4 linked regions of the Cricetulus griseus genome follow. The protein of the gene in region 2 purifies or fractionates together with the protein of the main gene of each other region. This does not show direct contact. Links are inferred from orthologs where the notes say so. Each region holds a gene or a part of one and is shown on either strand. Other genes may lie near its edges.

What was found.
Region 1: the proteins of Ptpdc1 (region 2) and Ppp2r2a purify together in Homo sapiens (affinity purification with mass spectrometry; 4 studies listed by BioGRID and IntAct, counting the BioPlex papers as one, with this or other methods). This does not show direct contact. The link is inferred for Cricetulus griseus from reciprocal best matches to the Homo sapiens genes PTPDC1 and PPP2R2A.
Region 3: the proteins of Ptpdc1 (region 2) and serine/threonine-protein phosphatase 2A 55 kDa regulatory subunit B delta isoform purify together in Homo sapiens (affinity purification with mass spectrometry; 5 studies listed by BioGRID and IntAct, counting the BioPlex papers as one, with this or other methods). This does not show direct contact. The link is inferred for Cricetulus griseus from reciprocal best matches to the Homo sapiens genes PTPDC1 and PPP2R2D.
Region 4: the proteins of Ptpdc1 (region 2) and Ppp2r1b purify together in Homo sapiens (affinity purification with mass spectrometry; 3 studies listed by BioGRID and IntAct, counting the BioPlex papers as one, with this or other methods). This does not show direct contact. The link is inferred for Cricetulus griseus from reciprocal best matches to the Homo sapiens genes PTPDC1 and PPP2R1B.

Annotation. Positions count from the first base shown.
Region 1 is NW_023276807.1:221,994,411-221,999,673, forward strand, and holds part of Ppp2r2a (serine/threonine-protein phosphatase 2A 55 kDa regulatory subunit B alpha isoform), read right to left. Parts: intron 4,542-5,263; coding exon 4,450-4,541; intron 1,455-4,449; coding exon 1,175-1,454; 3' UTR 1-1,174. UniProt on the Homo sapiens protein: Substrate-recognition subunit of protein phosphatase 2A (PP2A) that plays a key role in cell cycle by controlling mitosis entry and exit. Involved in chromosome clustering during late mitosis by mediating dephosphorylation of MKI67.
Region 2 is NC_048596.1:268,381,818-268,387,080, reverse strand, and holds part of Ptpdc1 (protein tyrosine phosphatase domain-containing protein 1), read left to right. Parts: intron 1-1,303; coding exon 1,304-1,384; intron 1,385-1,605; coding exon 1,606-1,724; intron 1,725-2,763; coding exon 2,764-2,901; intron 2,902-5,207; coding exon 5,208-5,263. UniProt on the Homo sapiens protein: May play roles in cilia formation and/or maintenance.
Region 3 is NC_048596.1:62,120,623-62,126,649, reverse strand, and holds the start of serine/threonine-protein phosphatase 2A 55 kDa regulatory subunit B delta isoform, read left to right. Parts: upstream 1-2,230; 5' UTR 2,231-2,245; coding exon 2,246-2,429; intron 2,430-2,832; coding exon 2,833-2,913; intron 2,914-6,027. UniProt on the Homo sapiens protein: Substrate-recognition subunit of protein phosphatase 2A (PP2A) that plays a key role in cell cycle by controlling mitosis entry and exit. Involved in chromosome clustering during late mitosis by mediating dephosphorylation of MKI67.
Region 4 is NC_048597.1:162,644,416-162,649,678, forward strand, and holds part of Ppp2r1b (serine/threonine-protein phosphatase 2A 65 kDa regulatory subunit A beta isoform), read left to right. Parts: intron 1-2,624; coding exon 2,625-2,779; intron 2,780-3,334; coding exon 3,335-3,477; intron 3,478-3,894; coding exon 3,895-3,986; intron 3,987-4,504; coding exon of another isoform or gene 4,505-4,521; exon of another isoform or gene 4,522-5,263. UniProt on the Homo sapiens protein: The PR65 subunit of protein phosphatase 2A serves as a scaffolding molecule to coordinate the assembly of the catalytic subunit and a variable regulatory B subunit.

The sequences.
Region 1 (5,263 bases), on a different chromosome or scaffold from region 2:
TAGCAATCAGTACAAAACAGCTCTTTAGTGCAGCATGGAGTTTCATCTACCAAGTTACTTCCAGATGGAATTCCACTCTGCTGGAACAGCAAGAACAGTCAGCTTGTCTACTTGGTATTTCCTAAGGCAAAAAAGAAATTAAGCACTGGAAGAAGACTTCAGAGTGAAGCTCTACAACTGTGGTTCTCATTTACAGTGACTTCATTAACAGTTAAGCATAGACACACAAAAAAAAAAACAGAACCCTCGAGCATCTCTAGACCGTGAACCCTTAACAATAATATATGTTCAACACATGAGTGCATAGAACCACACCTCTCTCAGAGGCTCCATGGAAAAGAACACTTGTTAAAAATAGTTCATAAAAATACCAAGGAGACAATAGAAACCCATTTCACTTCATTGCACCCATGGATATGACACAAAATATTGGTTTAAAGAGGTAGATGAAAAAGAAAAAGAAAACCAGATTCTCCATTCTTTGTCACTTTTATTCAGTAGTAGTTTTTTTTTTTTCCTTATTTTCAGTGCCAGACATGGCAAGGAGTGATTACAGCCAACTGTTATTAAAACATTTGTTCGCAACATATACCCCCATTACCACTGACCCAAAACTGACTCGTTTTGTGTGCTTTCGTTCTTCCTTTTAATATGCCACCACCGAGACCAGGTGGAAAGGGCAAGGGTAAGAGATGGAGGGGAAGAGTCCAGGAGGCCAGAGAGGAGGAATGCTACAAGCCACAGTAAGAATGAGCTGTATTTAATTTAAAAAAGAGAGGAGGGGTGTACCCCACAAATGATACAGTAATGAGGATACACAAATCCCATAGCATGACTGAAGGCGTTCACTGTGTTTGACGTCATCACAATGGAAGGCATAAAAAGTGGAGTACATCAATGCTGACACAGTCCAGTCCAGTCCACCAGGCAAGATGGTGCAAGAAGTCATTAAATTAAAAGTGCCCTTCCCTTCCCTAAACGGCTAGCAGACATGGAGAACAGCCTGGGATGCACCCACACAGCTTTCTCCATGTGGCTATCAAATGTGTTGTCGAATGGCACACTGTCAAACACTGGAAAGGGGCGCCACAATGGACCGCTCTCTTATAGGTATGAATGCTAGATTCAACTATCTCACTAAGCAGGAAGTGGCTCCTCTGCTAGGAATGCCAGCCTAATTCACTTTGTCTTGAAATATGTACAGATTGTTTGTAGTTGCTACAGCAATGATGTTTTCCTTGGGGTGCCAGGCTGTATGAAGGATTTTCTTGTTGAAGTCTAGGCTGTCAACACTTATTTCATCTTTCTTTCGCTTGCCGCTCGCACAGACTTTGCGTGGCTTCAAAACTGTGCGAGGCTTATTGTTTTCTCGTGATGCTTCTAGAGTTATATCCCGCTTTGTGTTCCTGTCGAACATTCTGAAGAAATTATTGTAGGATCCAGTCATGACAACACTGTAAAGGTAGAACACCCAATCAAACTGTTAACAAGAGACTGTTTACTGTAACAGGTCAGTGACCAACCTTGCCTAGCACTCACTGTGCAGGAAGCAACTTCTTTAAGCTTATCTGAACTAAGACATAAAGGATATTGACAACCAAACCAAAAGCACTAGAATCTTCTTTCTAAAAAAGCAAATTTAAGAAATTGTACAAAGCTGATAGCACCCAAGTACATTTCTCTTCTTGGTATGAATTACCTCATTGAGTAATCTTTGCCAACAGTAGACCATGCAACCAACCATACTAAGGGGATTCTAGAACTAGCAACCTATGGAGTTCATTCTAACCTCCTCCAAAATGGGGAGGGGGAAAAAAAAAGGTTGTTGCTGTTTCATAAAGCAAATTATGAGCTATTTTACTTGCCCAGATAATTTTTTTCTTTTTTTTGAGATGAGGTCTCATTATGCAGCCCAGCTTGGCCTCAGAACCATAACCCTCCTGCCTCCACATTCCTGGTGCAGGGATTATAGGCATATATTTACCATGCCTACTTCAGATAATATGAATGCTTACAATAGACCTGCTCAAGAAAATAACATTATGGGGCTGGAGAGATGGCTCAGAGGTTAAGAGCACTGGCTGCTCTTCCAGGAGCTGAGTTCAATTCCCAGCAACCACAAGGTAACTCACAACCATCTGTAATGAGATCTGGTGCCCTCTTCTGGCATGCAGACAACTATCAATAAACAAATCTTAAAAAAAAAAAAAAAAATAAATAACATATCTTCATTAATGATAAAATTATTGTACCCGTGGCACAAAACAATTGTTCTGTATTCTCATGAAAGCCATCACGGCTTCAAAACTCCCTGTGTAGTACAAAATGACCTTGGACTCCTGGCCCTCTTGTTCTTCTAAATGCTGTAGTTACAGGTTGTGTGCCAGGAGACCTATCTTCCAAAAAAACACCTTAACCAAACACTTACTCAAATCTTTCACTAAATTCAAAACCACCTTTGTTGTCTGATTTCTTTCCTAGTTTACCCACCTTTCTACTCGAGTCAAACGGTCTCTGTAATTACTGTGCATAAGGCAAACTAGGGACTGGTCAGCTAATACATGGTGTGTCACAAAGGATTCTGATTTATTCAGAATGCCAGTCCCTCAAAGAACGGACAATATCAATTGAATTCAGGGTGGTGTATGTCCCTGATAATGAAACTGTTTCTTTAAAAACAATTCACATAAATTAAGCTGGTGGTACCCATCCATGTTTGTAAATTTTTAACTGTTACTTTGTAGCACAAAATGTCCAGGTTATGAAAGACAAGAAAGAACTGGAGAATTCTTAAAATACATAGAACAAGTTATGACACCATGTCACTTTAAGACAAGAGCAGGTTTCTCTCTGCCATGAAGGGACTGAAACCACCTGGTGGGTCACCGAGCTCTGGACAGCACTAACCAAAGCTGGCTTTGAGCTGTAGCTGTGGCAGATGGGGCCCCTGTCCATTAGGAAGTGGTGTGGGGGCCGGCTGGGGGGGGTGGGGTGGGAGGAGTTGTCAGTGGTTAAGAACACTTTCTGCTTTTACAGAGGCCGGGTTTCTGTTCCCAGCAATCCAGGGTGGCTCATGACCATCTGTTACTCCAGTTCCAGGGTTCACTGCCCTCTTTTGGCCTCCACAGGCACCAAGTACAAAAACATACTTCACATACATGTAGGCAAACATTCATACACATAAAATTAAGATAAACATAAGAATAAATTTTTCAATGCATAATTTAAAAGTAATTATATTCCAAAGAGCTTGAGAGAGAGAGAGAGAGAGAGAGAGAGAGAGAGAGAGAGAGAGAGAGAGAGAGGGAGAGAGAGAGGGAGAGAGAGAGGGAGAGAGAGAGAGAGAAGTCAAGACAACCTTTATGGGTCGGTTCTTCCTTCTCTGCAGGTTCCAGTAATCCAACTGAGGTTGTTAGGCTTGGAAGCCTTTTTGCTGTATCCATCACCCTGCCTGCCCTCAGAAAGTATCCTTGATGTTGAGAGTTATCACCTTCCTTGACAACGGAAGGGCACTGAGAACTAACCATACAGATACCAGACATGGGGAAACTGACTGTAAGACGCCACACCTACATACACCAGTACATTCTCTTCACATCTGTCCTTCCTGAACTCACATTTAGCAATGACATCACAGGTACTTACCCTGCAGGAGGCATTCGAGTAGTGTGATCAGCCTATTATTAAGCCTCATATAAAACTCAGGCAATTATAATTTAAAAACCAGAGAAAAGACAAACACCTCAAGTTTGAGGGCTCTAACATCTAACACCAAAAAATGTGAATCATATCAAGCTTTTTAAATTCAACTACCGCCAAATAAAGCACCTGTAATTGCTTTAGATAAGGCCTAAAGTAACTGCAAAATTATGCTGTGTTTGAATCGGAATACAGTAAGCACTAAGAACTTGCAATAACATACAAATTGCTTCTGTGGAGTGAGTGTCGTGGTTACAGACACTGAAGTACAACACTGCATCAAGTACCTGAGCTGCCCAAACAGTTCTCCAATGAAATTCACCACTTTAATTAACTGTTGGCATATCTGAGTTATGATTTTGTTTTTAATGTTTCTTTCATGAAACAGTCTGCATTACTGACTCAGACTCCTCAAGCACTCTTCCTGCCTCAGCTGCCCAGGGGGGCGGAACTACAGATACACACTGTACATGGCTAGCAATGTCATTTATGTGGCTCACAAAAAAAGGGGAAAGATTTTATAATGTAACTTAAATACCTATAACTTCTTATTATAGATCTCTTATGCTTTATGTAGAAAATCAACACTTTTTTTTTAATCATTATAACTCTATTCATGATTACTAGGTTTATTTCACAAGTACCTGGAAGAAAAAAGAATAACTTCTGTCAAAGAAACAAAAAATTAGGTCTTTATTTTTACCTAGTATGACAAACCAGAGGGGATAAAACAGCAAGTTTCTTCCTTACCTGTCAGACCCATTCCAACAACATTCAAATTTGTCAAATATGCAGTCATTTTCATAGAGTGAGCAAAGTTTACTTCTGAGGTATTCATGTACCTAGGGAGAAACACATACTCCATTTCAGTCTCCTCTCAAATCAGGAACATTAAAAATTCATTTAAACAGTGGATAGCAGAATCACACCCCCCCCCCCCTCTAACCTTACTTCTCCTGGTCCTTACATTTTTCAGTAGCACAACTGAGGAAAACACCTTTCTGGGCACTGCAACGTACTCCAATAAGCCTAACTAAGACATCTGTAATATTCAAATAAGAATGTACACCCTCCATAGATTCATTTATCTGAATGTTTGATCCACATTTGGTGGCCTATTTAGGAAGGATTAAGTGGTGTGGCCTTTTGGAGGAGGCCTTTTGTGTCACTGGGGTAGGGCTTTGAAGTCAGCCTCCCTCTGCCTCCAGTCAGTGAATCAGATGTAAGCTACTGTTCTACACCATGCCTGCCTGCCTGCCTGCCACCCATATTCTCCACCATAATGAAACTGTAAGCAAGTCCCCATTAAATGCCATCTCTTCTCCCGCCAGGGACAGGGTTTCTGTGTAGCCCTGGCTGTCCAGGAACTCACAAGAGATCCACCTGCCCCTGCCTCCCAAGTACCAGGATTAAAGGTGTGTGCCGCTGCCGCCGCCACCACCAGCAGTTTAAAATAATTTCTTTCTTAAGTTGCCTTGGTCATGGTGTCTCGTTCACATAAATATAACAGTAACTGAGACATCTAAGCCAGAAGGTATTTGAAAATGGCAAATAAGAGACTAAC
Region 2 (5,263 bases):
CAGTAAGACCTTGTCTCAAAAAAAGTCAAAAAACAAAATCATATTTGGAACATATAATTAACTGTTTAAAAGAGTTCTACTCATGAATTATTTTATACAGCAAGAACCCATTTAAGATCAGATGTTTGCTGACTACTTATTTGATTTGCTGTCTCTACTCTCTGTGGTGACCCAGCCTGAGGTCCACTGTCGTTAGTGTTCTGTATGAGTCACAGTGAAGCCTAATGACACTTATGATATGAGGGAGCAAACACTCCTGAGTCAGAGTCCCACAAGCAAATGTCCAATGTAGCATAGCTCACATGACCACTCTCCTTGATTGTTAACTATCCACATGAGCCTTTCCCTCATGTCAGGGTCCATCTCAAGTCTTTGGAAGTCCTTGTTAGGTTCTACATGTTGCTCCTGAGGGGAATACTGTCTAGTGGATACTGGCCTACCAGTTTCACGTCTTTGCTACTCCTCTGAGATTCATATGAGTCAAAATTTGCAATAGACTTTTGTACATATCTTTTACCAACTTCCTGATGACAAATTTGAACAAAGCAGAGCAAAGCTGGAGGTCTAATAAGAGTGACAGACAGGCTTTTTATGGCCAACTGTTCATTGACTCATTCTATTTTGTTCATAGATTCATTCATAAACATTTAATTGTAGGACAAGGTACTTTGCTACTAGGTGCTTTCAAAGTATCACTAATTTTCATAAAACCTTGTGAGCTGTTAATGCCATTTTATTAGTAGTCCAGAGGGATGAGTTAATTTGCTTCACAGATAGAAGAAAAGCAAAACACCATTTGAAGTCAGGCCACCTGACTCTGAACCCCCACCCTCTTTCTTTGCTAAATTACAGCGCCTCAGTATTTATTTATAGCCACAGGTCAGGATTTGGGCTATATTTGTACATCCACATCATACTGAATTCTCACCCCAACCCTATGTATGTCTGGCATTATTACCTCATTTCACACATCAGGTAACAGGTGTCCAATATCAGCCTCCCATTTGTCCTCCGTTTAGTTGAATGACCACTTTGTCACAGGGTAAAGTTCCCCTTTATATCCACTAGAATCTCTTTAGAGTCCTTGGAGACATTTTGTCAGAATCCATAAATGACTTAGGTCTTGACCTTTTTTCCCTGTGGGATTTAAGGAGCTACAAGGTTCTAATTGTGATGCAGAATTAAAGCCAGATTTATGTAAGAATATAGAAGCTGCTGAAATGATAGGAAAAAAAGTTGCTAATCCTACTAGGTAGAATGCTCTGAGTTTTGTGCATCTCAGCAGTTCCATACCTGTCTTCAGGGTCACTGACAGTATCCTGGCCATGGCTCGTCCGTCCTCTGAGCTGCTGGAGAAGTATCACATCATTGAGCAGTTCCTCAGGTGAGTACCACAGCACCCATGGCTGTAGTGAACACAGTCAGCATGCTTGTCTTTAATTGATTATGGCATCAAAGGAAAAAAGAGCTCACTTTTAAAAAACAGGCAGTGAAGAGCTGATTATAAAGAAAAGTTTGAGAGCAATCAATAATGCCTTACTAATGCTAAAATCCAGTTTCTCAGGACTTGGGGTCCTTATAACTGATGGCTCTTTTCCTTTGAAGTCATGGCATAAAAACAATCATCAACCTGCAGCGCCCTGGTGAGCACGCCAGCTGTGGGAACTCTCTGGAACAAGAAAGTGGTTTCACGTACCTTCCCGAAGCATTCATGGAGGCTGGCAGTAAGTTCCTTCCCACCCTGAATTATCAAGTTCAGTACATAGAGACTTTTGTCCTCCAGGCTCTCAGGTTAAAGAGAATACTTATCAATAGAATCTGTACGGTAGTGGGGCTTCTGATTTCACCTTAAATGATGCTACCTTTCTTGGATGATGCTGTTGTGAGTACAGGGTTTCCTTTTCCTCTAGGAGGGGCTGGGAGGAGACCCTGCAGTAATAAGGCTTCTGTTCAGTTAGAGTCTGTACCGTGTCAGACATGACGACCTCAATTTCTCTTTACAGCAGTTGTGCCACTCAGTTTAGGCTTAGAGAGTTATCAGCTTGTCTGAGATCACATAGATTAGAAATTCAATGGGGATTGGAAGTTGAATAATTTTGGCCCTACAAGAATATATCCTCGTGGCCAGCCCAGAGCTCATCACAGACGCTTTGGAGTGGAGTCCACTCAGTGGGGTTATTCAAACCAGGCTGAGCAGGGAACGTGTTCTTAAGAGGCTTGTATCTAGCTTTTTTTGGTCACCCTAAGTAGAAAACTCTGTATCTATAGCTATATAAAACTCTATATCTAGCCATTTATTAGCCTTTTAGAGAATTTCTATTCTTAAACAAGAATACATGTTGTTCCCTCCACCTTTGTTTTTAATTCTACTCTGCTAAAATTCTTTCCACCTGCACTACAGCAAGAAATGTATTAAGGAAAAAGAATGTGCTTGTAAGAAATTTTAAGTTAAGCTTTCTGGAAATATAAAAATCCTGTTAGATGGGTATGGTGACTCATACCTTTAATCTCAGCACAGGAAACAGGGGCAGGCAGATCTCTGTGAATTCAAGATCATCCTGGTTTGCTTATCAAGCTCCAGGCAAGCCAGGGCTACACTGTGAAACCCTGTCTCAAGACATAAAAAGTAAAAAAATAAAAAGCCTATTATTGTAAGTCTGCTTATTTAATTAAATCTCTGTGCCTTGTGACTCATTTTCTTCAGTTGTCCTTGTATTTTTATGCATATTAATTTTGTTTTTCTTTTTCTCTTTCACTGTCTAGTTTATTTCTACAACTTTGGGTGGAAGGATTATGGTGTAGCGTCCCTCACTGCCATCTTAGACATGGTAAAGGTGATGACATTTGCCCTACAAGAAGGAAAAGTAGCTGTCCACTGCCACGCAGGGCTTGGGCGAACAGGTGAATTCTAGGAATCATGTTGTGCTGTGTGGGCATAATGAAATATATAGGGGTGAGATTTCCTAATTCTAAAGAGAGATAGTTCTTAGAGTCATAACAAAGTTTTAGAATTAAATTAAATAAAAGATATTTGAAGCATCTTAAGCCTTTATAGTAACCATGTATTGATAAGAGTATTTCTGAATAATTTAGAGCTGAAAACTCACTGTGTTTAAGCATGTTTCTAAAACTACTTAAATAATCAGCTTATTTAAATGGAGCACCTCATGTTAATAAATAGTATTTTTTAAGATTCTTTCTTTCTTTCTTTCTTTCTTTCTTTCTTTCTTTCTTTCTTTTCACCAAGATAGCATTTCTTTGTATAACCTTGGTTGTCGTGGTACTCGCTGTGTAGACCAGGCTGGCCTTGAACTCACAGTGATCCACCTGCCTCTGCTTCTTGAGTGCTGGGACTAAAGACATGCACCACCACCACTACCAGACAAAACATTGTTTTTCTTAAAGACTTGCTTTTATTTTATGTCTGTGAATGTTTACCTGCATGTCTGTGTGCCTCAGAAGAGGTGGTCAGATTCCCCTGAGACTGGAGCCACAGACTATTGTGAGCACTGTGTTGCTGCTGGGAATCAAACTGGGATCCTCTTCAGAGTGCAGGTGCTCTTAACCACCCAGCCATCTCTCCAGCCCCCAAAATATCTTTAACTGAAAGAACTACTGAAATAGCAAGCAACGTTCATCTGCTGGAGTATTTTTCATTTACTGTCCTTTGAAGTTGTTAGCAACAATAGGAGTCAAACTGCAGTCTAAGAAAATGTAGTAGTCTGCTACATTCAGGGAGTGGCAGGGTCTCTATTACATCCATCAGTGTCTGGCTCCATCTTTCATGCCATGTCTATCTTGGGATTTATAAGGATTCTGTACTTGAAGAAGACTGTTTGCATATAAAGTTCTGTGTGAAAGTCAGTGGTTTTATATAAACACGCAGCAAACTTCATTACATTGCTGGTCTGATAGCAAAAATGAAAGGCCTGGGATGGATAGCTTCACTGTCATGTGATTTGTTAGACAAAACCACCCCAGTGTATATCCCCTGCCGTGGGATTTCCTACCTGCCTAGGAGCATCCTAGACTAGTATTCAACTCATGTAGGTTTGGGCAACTCTTAGGATAAAGCCAAAATGTCTTTATTCCTGGACATTACATGTTATACCTCTGCAGATATTTATCCTTATACTAAAGATGTGTGATGTCCCCATGAGAAAGCTGCATTGTGTTCACTGCAAACTGGAGGACATGCAGTTCTCAGAGGTTCTGATTTTCATGTATAACTAGATGTTCACAAACTTAGGAATTATGTGTCTGTCTTTTACATTAAGAGTTGTTGGCTGTTGTATTATAGTTAATTGATTCTGGAGTCTTAACAATGAGTAACTAATGAAAACCAAGCCATTATACTGTTGCAGCTGACATCCTTATAGCGTTTGCTTATGTGACAGAGTCACACCGTGGTCTGGAGAAAACACAGACTAGTGTAGACACCATTTGGAAGAATTGTCAGGCAGAGAAGTAGAATGTATGGATGTAATAATCCCCAAAGCAAAACCTTCCCAACCTGGGAGAGGGCTCAGCAAGAATGTCCTGGCAGTGGGTGGCAGAGATGCCAGAGCAGGGCGTTCCCAGGGCAGAGTGGGTGGCGGATCGGATGGAAGCATCAAGAGCTGTTTACCCCAGAGCAGTGCAGGGTCAGGGTTTGGCTTCCTTCATGCCAGAGTGAGGCATGGGGAGGCTCGACCAGACCCTCAGCTTAGTTTTTAAGTCCTCCTCACCTCAGCAGCCCTTTACCTGCCAATTGTGCTGGCTCATCTCTGGGGCAAAGCTGACTCAGTCACAGGAAGGAACTTCCACAAAGATGTGTAAAAGTCTTTGCAGTAATGAATGCTTGAGGGGCTGGGGATGCCGCTTAGGTGGTAGAGCGCTTGCCTAGCATACAGGAAGTCCTGAGTTTGATAGCCAGAACTACATAAAAGCAGCCTGGTGGTATATACTTGTATATACTTGGACGGTAGAGGCCGGAGGATCAAGAGTTCAAGGTCATCCTTGCCTGTATACAGAGTTCCAGGCCAGCCTAGGTTATATGATAACCTGTATTTTTTTTTTTTTAAAAGCAACAAAGAGCTGGCAGGTGTCATTACTATCCTTTAAATGTGCTTGTATTTATGATTTATTAACAGCATTCAGGCTTTAAAGTCACCAAACACTGGCACATAAACGAGTCTTTTCTCATGTGAGTCTTCTTTACTGTCTAGGTGTCCTAATAGCATGTTATTTAGTTTTTGCAACAAGAATGACTGCTGACCAAGCA
Region 3 (6,027 bases), about 210 Mb from region 2:
AGTGATACAGGGCTAAAGAAGTCGGCACAGTGCACTGAAAGGCTTGGACTAGGAAGTGCAGAAATGAAATTCTGTCAGTGGATAGGGCATCGCATCCCTTGTGGAGAACCAGAGAGAAATGACCACTGCCCAGGGGAGGGTAGAGGTGGAAGGGCATGACAAAAAGGGAAGAAGGGAACATGTGACTTGAGTGCTTTGAGGAGAGATACATGAAGAGTGACTTTCTGAAAAGTAAGAGAACCTGACTTGGTCCTTGGCGAGCAGGAATGCCCTGAGAGCAGGCCAGCCCAGCCCAGCTAATAATAAGCTACAGCCCTTGAATCCCATGCCAAGGGCTTTGAACTGTGCTATGAGTGATTATGAGCTGAAGGTCCTAAGCAGGAGTGACAACACTGTAACTGTATGAAGGTCACCCTGGCCTTTGGAGAATGATTGTGGGTCAAGGACCACAGGTTCTATGGAAAAAGTCAAACTCTCAGGAATTTGCACACTTTTCTACAAAGAGCCAAATGGTAAATAGTTCAGGTTCTGCACTCTGGACTGTCCTTACACTTGTATGGACTTTGACGGTGCCCGGTTCTGCATAAGGCTTGTCTCAGCAGCATGATGCTAGTCCAAGTACAGAAAGCTGGGACACATGGGAAGGCATTTTGCAGAGATGTGGGTACAAACCTTTACCTACTGACCTCAAACCATCTTCATAGAGGGAGAGTAGCTACAGCTCATCAAAATGAACAGCCCTGCTGCTGCCAGAGTTACCTTTAGGATATACCTTGCTGACCTTATTATATATATAGGCATTAAGTTTTTTTCACTGTAAAATAAATACATATGCTACTCTTTATTGAAATACTTTTTTTGTTTTTTCAAGACAGGGTTTCTCTGTGTAGCTTTGGAGCCCATCCTGGCACTCACTCTGGAGACCAAGCTGGCCTCGAACTCACAGAGATCACCTGCCTCTGCCTCATGAATGCTGGGATTAATTTATTATGTATACAGTGTTCTGTCTGCATGTGTCCCTGCAGGCCAGAAGAGGGCACCAGATCTCATTAGGGATGGTTGTGAGCCATCATGTGGTTGCTGGGAATTGAACTCGGGACCTCTGGAAGAGCAGTCAGTGCTCTTAACCGTTGAGCCATCTCTCCAGCTCCCGAAAAACAATTTTTATGAAACAGGTTTAGTGAAAAGAATGCTGTTGTCTTACACTTAACAATTCCTTTAAATGGCTTATTAAGAAACAGCTGATCCTCAGATCTGTTCCCAGGTTGGGTCTCTCACAGGTTTGTTGAAGTTTGTGAAGAAATTTGGCCTCAAACTGTAGTTAGAAAATGGAGAAGCAGGCCAGGCGTTGGTGGCGCATGCCTTTAATCCCAGCACTCGGGAGGCAGAGGCCAGCCTGGTCTCCAGAGCAAGAGCCAGGATGGGCTCCAAAGCTACAGGGAAACCCAGTCTCGAAAAACCAGAAAGAGAGAGAGAAGGAGGAGAGAGAGAGAGAGAGAGAGAGAGAAAGAGGAGAGGGAGGGAGGGGGAGAGAGGTAATTACTCTTTCCGGGGAATGGTGGGTGTTCTGCTCCTTAATTGGGGCTTTGTTCTTTAGCTGCACCTTGGGATCTGGACCAGCAGTTCTTTTGTTTTGTTGTGTTCTGTTTTTTTGAGGCAGAGATCCTCCTGCGTCTTCCACCTGGCCATCAGAGATCTGTTGTACCCTGTAATATCAGGCTCCATAATTTATAGTGCATGGAGCTATTCTGATTTTTAAAGATTTTTCATTATATTTGACCCAAGAAAATTGTGTTTGTTAATGCTACCATAGATAGCAACTTCTCAACAAGGGTAAGTAGTCAGCAGCAGCAGTGGATAATGGGCTCCCCCAAAGTCTAATGTGTTCTTGAATACCTGGATTTTATTATTGACAACCGATTTTATTCATAACTTAAGAGGCTCGCTTTTCTCATTTTCAAAAATCTACCACATGTCAAAGTCCGAATGACCAATGTAAGCCATTCCAAATGAAGATAGCATTCTGTGAAAACAATGGCAATGAGGTACCTTTCCTGGAGACAGCTGTGCATATAGAAGCAACAGACTGGCTCTGTGAAAACACTGAAAAGCCTGGCTACAAGATGGGTAGCAAGTCAAGTCAGTGATTCCAGTGTTTGTTGGGGACAGTCGTAAGAAAACTTGCTCTTCGCCTTGTCTTTTGCCGCATGGATATCCTGCAGAACTTGAGGAATGCTACTGCAGCATGGTGCTGGCCTGGCTTCCTGTGGCCTCTGCTCATCCACACAGAGGACGACATTGGTCCAGCAGATCACAGATCTGTGTCATTGTCAATACAGCTTTGACCCTTTGGTCCACCGAAGGTTCCACAGTGAAGACCACTGCCATTGAGGAAGTTGTTAACAGTAGAATGACCAGGACCTTGACAGGTTTGAAGAGCAACCACATATTTTTTGGTCTTGCTAGATTTTATTGTTTTTTGTCCCAAAACACAAAAATATAGTGTTATTATATAGAAAACCAAATGGGGGAGCTGCAGAAAGGCTAAACAATGAAGCCTCTCTTGGTTCTCCCACTTTCTTGGAATCCTTCCTAGGTCTCCACCTGTAATCAACTGTGTGTGTTCTCAACCATTCTTTAAACTTACCTGTTTATGATTTAATGTATTTATAAGCAGCAGCTCTTCTCATGAACTCCTAAATTCTGTTTGTGGCTTGATTATTAGTGTATGATTTGAGTTCTCTCGCCAGAAAATTTTGTGTTTGGCTCATAAAATCCAAGCCACAACCTTTGAGCTATAATTGATGCCTTAATATCATTTCACATGTGAAGAAATTGATTCCCAGGAAGAGTCATCAGGTCATTCTTTGCTGCTGCAGAGCTGCAGGTGTTCCAGCCAGGAGTTCTGTCCAGGTGTGTTATACCAGCTGTCTGTGCTCAGATGTGCTAGATTACCTTCATTTCTAATCCCAGTCATCCTTCATGGTTGCTGCACTGTGTTTTGTATATGTGTCTTAGGGTTTCTATTGCTGTGATATCATGACCATGGCAACCCTTATAAAGAAAACATTTAATTGGGGTGACTCGCTTACAGTTTCAGAGGTTCAATCCACTATCATTACAGTGAGGAGCATGTGGCATGCAGGCAGACATATTTGAGAGTCGTACATTTTACAGGCAACAGGATGTTGACTAAGACACTGGGTGGTATCTTGAGCATAGGAATCCTCAAAGCCTGCCCCCATAGTGACACTTCTCCAACAACTACATTCGTCCACTGCTTAGCATTCTAGAGTCTCTCTTTGCTTATGTTTTAGAGGTCAGTTGGCAACTGTTTGAAGAGGTGAGATCCCAGTCAGGCATGGTAGCACATGCCTTTAATCCCAGCACTTGGGGGGAAGCAGAGGCAGTCAGAGTTCACTGAGTTCAAGGTCAACTTTGAGAGTTCTAGGCCAACCAGTGCTATACAGTGAGACCCTGTCTTGGTAAGGGGGGTGGCAGGTAATAATTAGATAAGTAGTAGTAAATAAATGAAATAAAAGGTATTCAACCCTGTGGTTCAGTGTATAAGAGTCTTACAGAAATGTGCTGGTGAAAACCAAGAGGTACTTTGCAGTTGTAGAGCCTAAGGGCAGTGAAGCAGTGAGCTGGGTGGGTCATAATGTATAACTAGTTAGAGGGGTCTGTGCTTGGTGAAAGCAATGCGAATGCTGAGTGACAGCATTTGCCAGTCATTGAGCCTGTATAAAAAGTGGTTAATGCCCAGGTTAGGATGGCTCTGGCAGTTAGTTAACATGTGTCACCTGTGGATTAAGATGGGGTTGCCATTGAAGAGGTCTTTTGCTTTTATTTTGTTGAACACTAAGGTACTTTTCATTTTATAGTGATAAGGAGGTAAAAGCCAGCCGGTGGGTAACAGCTAAAAGGTGGCAGATCTCCTGTGAATTTTGTGGGTTGACAGTCTGCTTTCCAAGGCATACTGGCTTTTGTAAACTGTTCTAGGCTGCTACTTTTTCATGTTTAAACTTACTTAAGGTTTTATTTTTCTCTTTTAATTGCCTTGCTCAGGGTATCTAGAACAAAACAACAACAAAAACAGCTGTTTATAAAAGCTGTTTAGGACAGGCGGTGGTGGCACACAGTCTTTAATCCCAGCACTTAGGAGGCAGAGGCAGGTGGATCTCCGAGTTTGAGGTCAGAACAAGTTTCAAGACATCCAAGGCTACACAGTGAGACCCTATCTCGAAAAACAAAAACAAAAAGCTCATTATATAAATAGAACCTCTCAGTTCTGTTATTATATGTAGGAACCTGGGCTAAAAATAGTCTATATATTTAACAGTAAAAACACTAGTAGCAATGTAATGAATGATGGGAATAATACAGGCACCCACAGTCTGAATACCTATACCTCAGCATTTGATCTTGTTTGGATGTCCTTAAGAAATTAAGTCAAAGTTAGAGTTGAAGTTATACATGTAATTTCTCAGTTGCACACCTCTGCCACCTTGTCCACAGCAGCAGTGTCCACCATAACCATGATGCAGAGCTTGCCCCTGCCTCTGAGTTGATCAGTTGGTGCACAGATAGTTTCTGCTTGAGCAGACTGACGAGGATTGCCTTCTCTGTGCCTTTTTCTCCAGTTTTCTCTTTCTTTCTTTCTTTCTTTTTTTTTTTTTTTTAACTCTGACCACCCCCCATGGTGTATGCTGTGCCAGGTATTTCCTTGCATGGACTGTGCCACTGTGTATTGTACCAGAAAGGATGTGAGGCAAATGTCAAAAGCATTCAAAATGTCAGAGATCATTCTTGAAATGTCCTCCCTTAGAACCCTGGTAAATTCAGGTATGAAACGATGGCATTCATGTGAAACAGACACTGAGAAAATGTTTACCCTATTTTCAGTTTACTTAGTTGTATATTAAAGAATTTAAAATTCAGTAGGGTTTTTTGTTGTTGTTGTTTTTGGGTTTTTGTTTGTTTGTTTGTTTGTTTGTTTGTTTGTTTTTTTAAGTAGAAGGCTCTTGCTGAATTCCCCTATTGGCCTCAGGCTTGTTGATACTGCCTTGGCTCCCTTGTAGCTGGAATTATGTGTATGTGTGCCACTATCTTGAGCTAAATTATCACTTTGGGTGTTTGTTGGTTGTTTGAGGCACACCCTCTCATTGTGTAACCCAGGCTGGTCTCATAACTGAAATCAGCCTCTTGAGTGCTGGACTTGAGGCATGTGTACTCATTTCCATGGCCTGTGCCTCATAGTTTTTCATTATTCTCAACCAGAGACTTTTCCTGTGAGTATTCTCTTCCTCCCTTTGCTGCACTGCTGCGGGCTTACTCTACTCAGTCTCTAGGGATTCTGTGTATTAAGTAGGAGCACACTATTCATCCACCTGTCTCTGTTATCTCTTGTGTGTTCCAGGCTCTCATAATGCTGGGGGCATCAGCACTTCATTCAGACTTTCTGGTTTCGTGGCAGAATATGATGACTTTTGAAGCATGTGTTTTCAACCTACCTTTTTGTTACACTGTTTTTAGTACTTGTTATTCTGTTACATTTTTCTTTTCAAACAAATGTATTCCTTAAAAGCAGTTTGTTTGGGATTGAGATGCTGATGCATTGAGTGAACTAATAAAAAGTAACTTGTTTCAATTCCCCCCCCCCCCGCCCCCAAGGTAAATGATAAAATGAGAATTGGTAATTTTTTACCTTCATTTGATAAAAAAACTAATGTATTTTGCCTTGATACCAATTGATATCACTTGGCAAAGTTAGCTGTTTACAGTTTCTTCAATTTAGAGAAAGAGCTTTGAGTTTCTACCTGTATATTTAAACATGCTTCATGTTTAGTATAAGGAAGAGTCTCTCAGGCTTGGGTATATTCCTAGTGAATGCTAATGAAAATGGAGACTAAGAAACAAGCTATTGGGAAAGATTAGCAGCCTGGTGTTGCTAATATAATCAGTTAGATTTATAATCAGGTCCATCCTGAAACTCTGAGATGTTTCTCCTTTTGGTACAGTCTCAGA
Region 4 (5,263 bases), on a different chromosome or scaffold from region 2:
AAATGCTCTTTGCCTTGACTGAGGAGTGTTTGTTAAAGTTCTGATAGCTTTCTCTGACTACAAATATTTTACTGTTTCTCATTGTGTAGCCCTGGCTGTCCTGCCTCTGTCTACTGAGTGCTGGGAGTCAAGGCAGGTACCACCAAATTTGACATTTGTACTTCCTGTTATTTTCTGTTTTAAATGTATTTGCTGTGCTGGGTAACTTCTTTGCCCTCCTGTACCTCCTGCCGCCTGTGGGCTTCAGACTCTTAACATGTATCCGTCCTCCAGCATTTGGGCTTGCAGCTGACCAGTTACCATTGGTGTCCTTAGCAACTGCAGTCCAGGCTGCATAGATTGGGAAAAAATGGCTATTCAGGCTTTCTGAGGTGATGTGCAAAGATACAGTAGGAGTCAGGGACGTGTCTGTACTCTAGGAGAGAGCCAGGGTTTGGTGAGAGAAGGCTTTCCTCTGCCTGCTGCTACTGGGCTGGAAGACATGCGCTCAGGGAAGGTCTTACTGGACAGAACTCAGCAGGTACCTTTCTGGTGACCCTCAGGGCAGTGTGTGTGCACAAATCCCTTTGTTTCCCTGGCAGCAGATGGGTGAGGGGTTCTCAGTGTCAGGTCCTAGACTTGGCAGCTTCAGTGTGACCTGAGCCCCATTCCACTGAGTGCCTTCAAGTTCTCACATGGTATGTCCCATGAGCTTTGGGGTCCATGTCTTGTGGGTGTGTTAAGCATCCTGCTGTGGTTCTCTAGTGTACTGTGTGTATCGAGTGCATGTATCTGCGGGTATTTGTGACTCGCTACCAGGGAAAGAATAAGAACATTTGGGTCTGCTTACATTTGTAGGTGGTTTTGTTAAAATCGAATTGGTATCATATGTCTGAGTAGAAAAGGAAGGTTGTGAAACTGTGTATGACAATCTGTTAGGGCATATGTATGGATACGTCTGGTGCTCTTAAGTACATTATAAAGACTTCTTTATTTCTTTTTTGTCAGAAGTTAAGTTTTTCTGACCATTTGTAAAAAAAATGATCATTTATAAATCATAGGAAAGGTGTTTAAAAATTTTATTTTAAATTATGTGCATGTGTGTGTGTGTATGTGAGCTTGCTCATGTACTTGCAGGTTTTCTGAGAGGCCAGAGAGGACATCTGATCTGGAGCTGGGGTTGTCCGCAGTTGTGATCCCGCTGGTTTAGGTGCTGGGAATTGAACTCCAGTCCTCTGGAAGAGCAATGTACATTTAACCACTGAGCCATCTCCCAGTCCAAGAAATTATTTATTTAAAAAAGTTTATTTTTGGTAAATATTAATGTGAGTGGTATTCCCAGAAGATGTTTTTATTGCTTTCTTTGAAAACCAGCCTTTTGGATTAAGACAGGCCTTTTTTTTTTTTTTTTCCTTCTTCCAAGTTTTGAAGGACTTTTAAGGCTTAATATTCTTCTTCTTTTTTTTTTTTTTTTTTTTTTTTTTAAGGTTTAATATTCTACGAGGAGATTCATGACACCTGTATAGGGATGCTTGCTGTATGAAACCTGAGCATCCCCCTCTTTTTTTTCTTCCAACTTGGGAGCCGGTGGGGGTGGAGTTTATGTATGGGACTTGGGCTGGTGTGTAGTGGCTGGTTGGTGGCTGAGAATGTTCACCAGGGCCTTTCCAATGCAGTTTTTTTTTGTTTCCCCTTTGAGACAGGGTTTCATTGTTTAATCCTGGCTGCCCTAGAACTTGCTGTGTAGACCAGGCTGGCCTGAAACTCAAGAGATCTGCCTGCCTCTGCCTCTTGAGTGCTGGGGTTAAAGGTGTATACCACTACCACCTGGCATCCTACAGCTTTTATATTTAGCTTAGAATTTTATAATTTGAAGAAAAACTATGTTTTTGCACTTTTAAGTGGCACACAGTGAGGAGGTTTCTTTGGGAATATCCCCCATCCCTCTTTGGGCATGAAGCTGCTGTAAGACCACTGTGCAGCCTGCAGAAGCTAAAGGAGGAAAAGCACAGAGGCTGTGTATCTGTCATTGGGCAGTGTCCACCCAAAGGGAGGGCTCAACGAGAGGGATTTAAACAAAGTTCTAGGTTTTGTTTTTTTGAACAGTGGGGGTATCTTTTACAGGACAAAATTAGTGAAAATATATGTATATCAAGTCAGAGTTAGTGAGAATAGACAGAATTAGATATTTAAAGAAAACTTTCAGATCAGCCTGACCTTGAGGGGAAAAACAGACACACAGACAAAACAAGGAGTGAAAACTGGCAGAACTCGAGAAAGGCTTGCATTCCTCTGAAAAGAGAAGTGAGAGGTGCCAGGAACATAGTAGGCATCTGGCCAAGTAGAGTTCAGTGTAGTTGAGGTCTTGGTCAAGGCTCAGTCTCTGGTTACTTTGGCAGTAGAACCCTGTGTTAGTGGCATTGTAGTAAGAACAATCATTTTAAGTATTTGTTAAAGATCAGTAGCTGGGAGAAAAGCATGGGTGCTTATCCTTGGTGACAGACGTTTTAAACTGCAATGGCTGTGCTTCACCATCATTATCATTAAGTGTGTGATGTCAGGTTTGCAGAGTGTATTTTGAGTCTGTGTGGTGTGGTTGTGTGTAAAGCAAGCAGCTGAAGATGTTCTCTTGGGCTCTCCTGCAGTCTATGCCATTCGGGAAGCTGCCACCAACAATCTCATGAAGTTGGTCCAAAAGTTTGGTACCGAGTGGGCCCAGAATACCATCGTACCTAGAGTGCTAGTGATGGCAAATGACCCTAATTACTTGCACAGAATGACCACTCTATTCTGCATCAATGTAAGTATGACACAGTGTCATTGCTAAGCTCAGGCATGAAATCATTCTCAGGATATTTCTAAGTTCTGAGTGAGCTACCTTTTGTTTGAGGTGCATTTTGTATACTGGTAAATTTGGGTAATTAGAATAGAGAAAATGTTGATTTGAAAATTGGAGCTGGAGAGATGGCTCAGTGGACAGGAGGGCCCCCTGTTTGCTCAGAGGACCCGAGTTTGAGTCTCAAGCACCCATGTCAGGTAGCTCACAACTTTTGTAATTCCAGCTGCTGCTGGTGGCGGGTCTGACTCTTCTTGTCTCCCACCATCATCCCCCTCGTCATGAATCCACACATAATAAAACTCAATATTTAAAACTTGATGTATTTTAAAACTTGCATTTTGTTGTGTGATTTGGCATAGGTCTTTCATCTTTTGAGCCACCTCATGTTCCTTAGATGCTCAAGTAGGAAGCATTTTTCTGTTGGTCAATTAATTTCCCTTTAAATATTAGTTTGTTTCTCTAGATTTGGGGAGTATTAAGAAAGTTTTAAATGTGCCATCTTACTTATTTTTCTAGGCACTGTCTGAAGCCTGTGGTAAGGAAATAACCACTAAGCAAATGTTGCCCATCGTGTTGAAAATGGCAGGAGACCAAGTAGCAAATGTCCGTTTCAATGTGGCCAAGTCATTACAGAAAATTGGACCAATTCTAGATACCAAGTAAGATTTATTTTAGTGTTGCTATTGGTGTGAAAGCATCTCCTCACGGGTGTGTGTGTGAGTGTGTGTGTGGGGTGAAGGGAAGCAATAGCTAAAATAATCCCAGGGGTTTCTTTTTTTACTTTTCATAGAATCTGGGCTTATTCAAAGAAAAGAATTCAGCCCTAGGTTTTGAGACTGTTCATTTTGACTTTTACATTTATGTTCTGGGTATATATAGAACACTGCCCCAAAGCGAATTTCACCAAGAACTTCTTTAGAAATTATTTGATGTACTTGTCATGTTTGTATTTAAAAGTATTTTCATTTTAAATTAAAAAGTTACCATCGATCCAAACCTCAAATTCCAAAGCAGATTGTGTTCTAATGGACCTCTCTGTCCCACCAGCCATCTTTTGAGTTACTTCTGAATTTCAGTGCCCTGCAGGGGGAAGTGAAACCAGTGCTGCAGAAGCTAGGTCAGGATGAAGACATGGATGTCAAGTATTTCGCACAGGAAGCTATAAGTGGTATGCATTTCGTTTGTTGCTCGACTTTGGTTGGTGGGAGTTTTCCTCTACTGTGTGAGCAGTGGGAATTGCAGTACGATGGGCATGATGGGAGGCAGAGGGTGGCAAGCACCTGCTATGCTGGGCCTGTGTGGTTAGGGGTTTCTCAGGCCTTGCTGGGCTTGGAAGCATACACTTGTAATCCCAGCACTTGGGAGACTGAGGCAGGAGGACCTCAGGGTAGAGGAGCTGGGGCTATATTGTGAGACCCTGTCTAAAATAAAGTCTTGGCCTACGGTTCTCTAAGTGAGCAGGCCATTTTCTCAGTTCCATGTGTAGGATGCTGATTCTTACTGGCAAGAGCAGTTTTGGTTTGGACTCGAGATTAAGTCTTTAACTTCCAGTCAGCCTGACAGAGTGCAGGCCCGCAGTGAGAGCTCAGGCTCATGCTGTTGTCATTGTTACATACTACATGTTCTCATAGCGATCGCTAATGAACTTTCTGTACCACTAACATGATTTTGTTTGGAATTTTCCAGTTCTTGCCTTGGCATAAAGAGGAACAGGAGGGAAAAGCCTTTACTAAATTCTTATCACAGATCTCTAGTCAATGTGTTCTTACACTGGGTGGAGAAAAATGGAAACCTTCAAGATCTCATCCAAGCAAATGGCAACAACTTAGAAGAAATCAGATTTCAGTGACTTGATCCTTTGTAAACATGAACTGAGACTGATTTGATGTCTCTGTCGGGATAACTTGAAAGCCCTTCTTACTGACCAGTTGCTGATATTCCCTCGCAGTCCCCCTTTGAGTGTCTCCCAGGGGTTTCTTCCAGCACCCCTGAGGCTCCTGCTTCCTCCCTTTTGAATCAGGCCCCAGCCACATAAGATTCCAGACAGAGCCTGGATGGATTTGGACCCCGACATGGAGTGGAGTGATTCTCTTACTGTTTACATGTGTCTCTATGCCTGTAGCTTTCCAATGTTAAAAGTAAATGGTTTAGAAAAACTTATAATTATCTACTTGGGAGATAATACTGAGATTTGACTGTAGTGAAAGCCACATCTTTCTGGTTACGATGGTTCGCATCAGTATCTCACACGAAAGGAGATATGGAAGGTTAATGTATTGGTTGTTCTGGTTTTCATTTGCTCAGTTTTGACTGTAATCATGTCATGCAGAAGCCTGAAGTGGGTGTATCTTGCTGCTAATGTGTGATGTTGAAAGGTATCAATTTCAACGGCTCAGCACTGTGACTGCCTTCAAAAACTCATAAGAAACTTTAGTGCCTCCTACT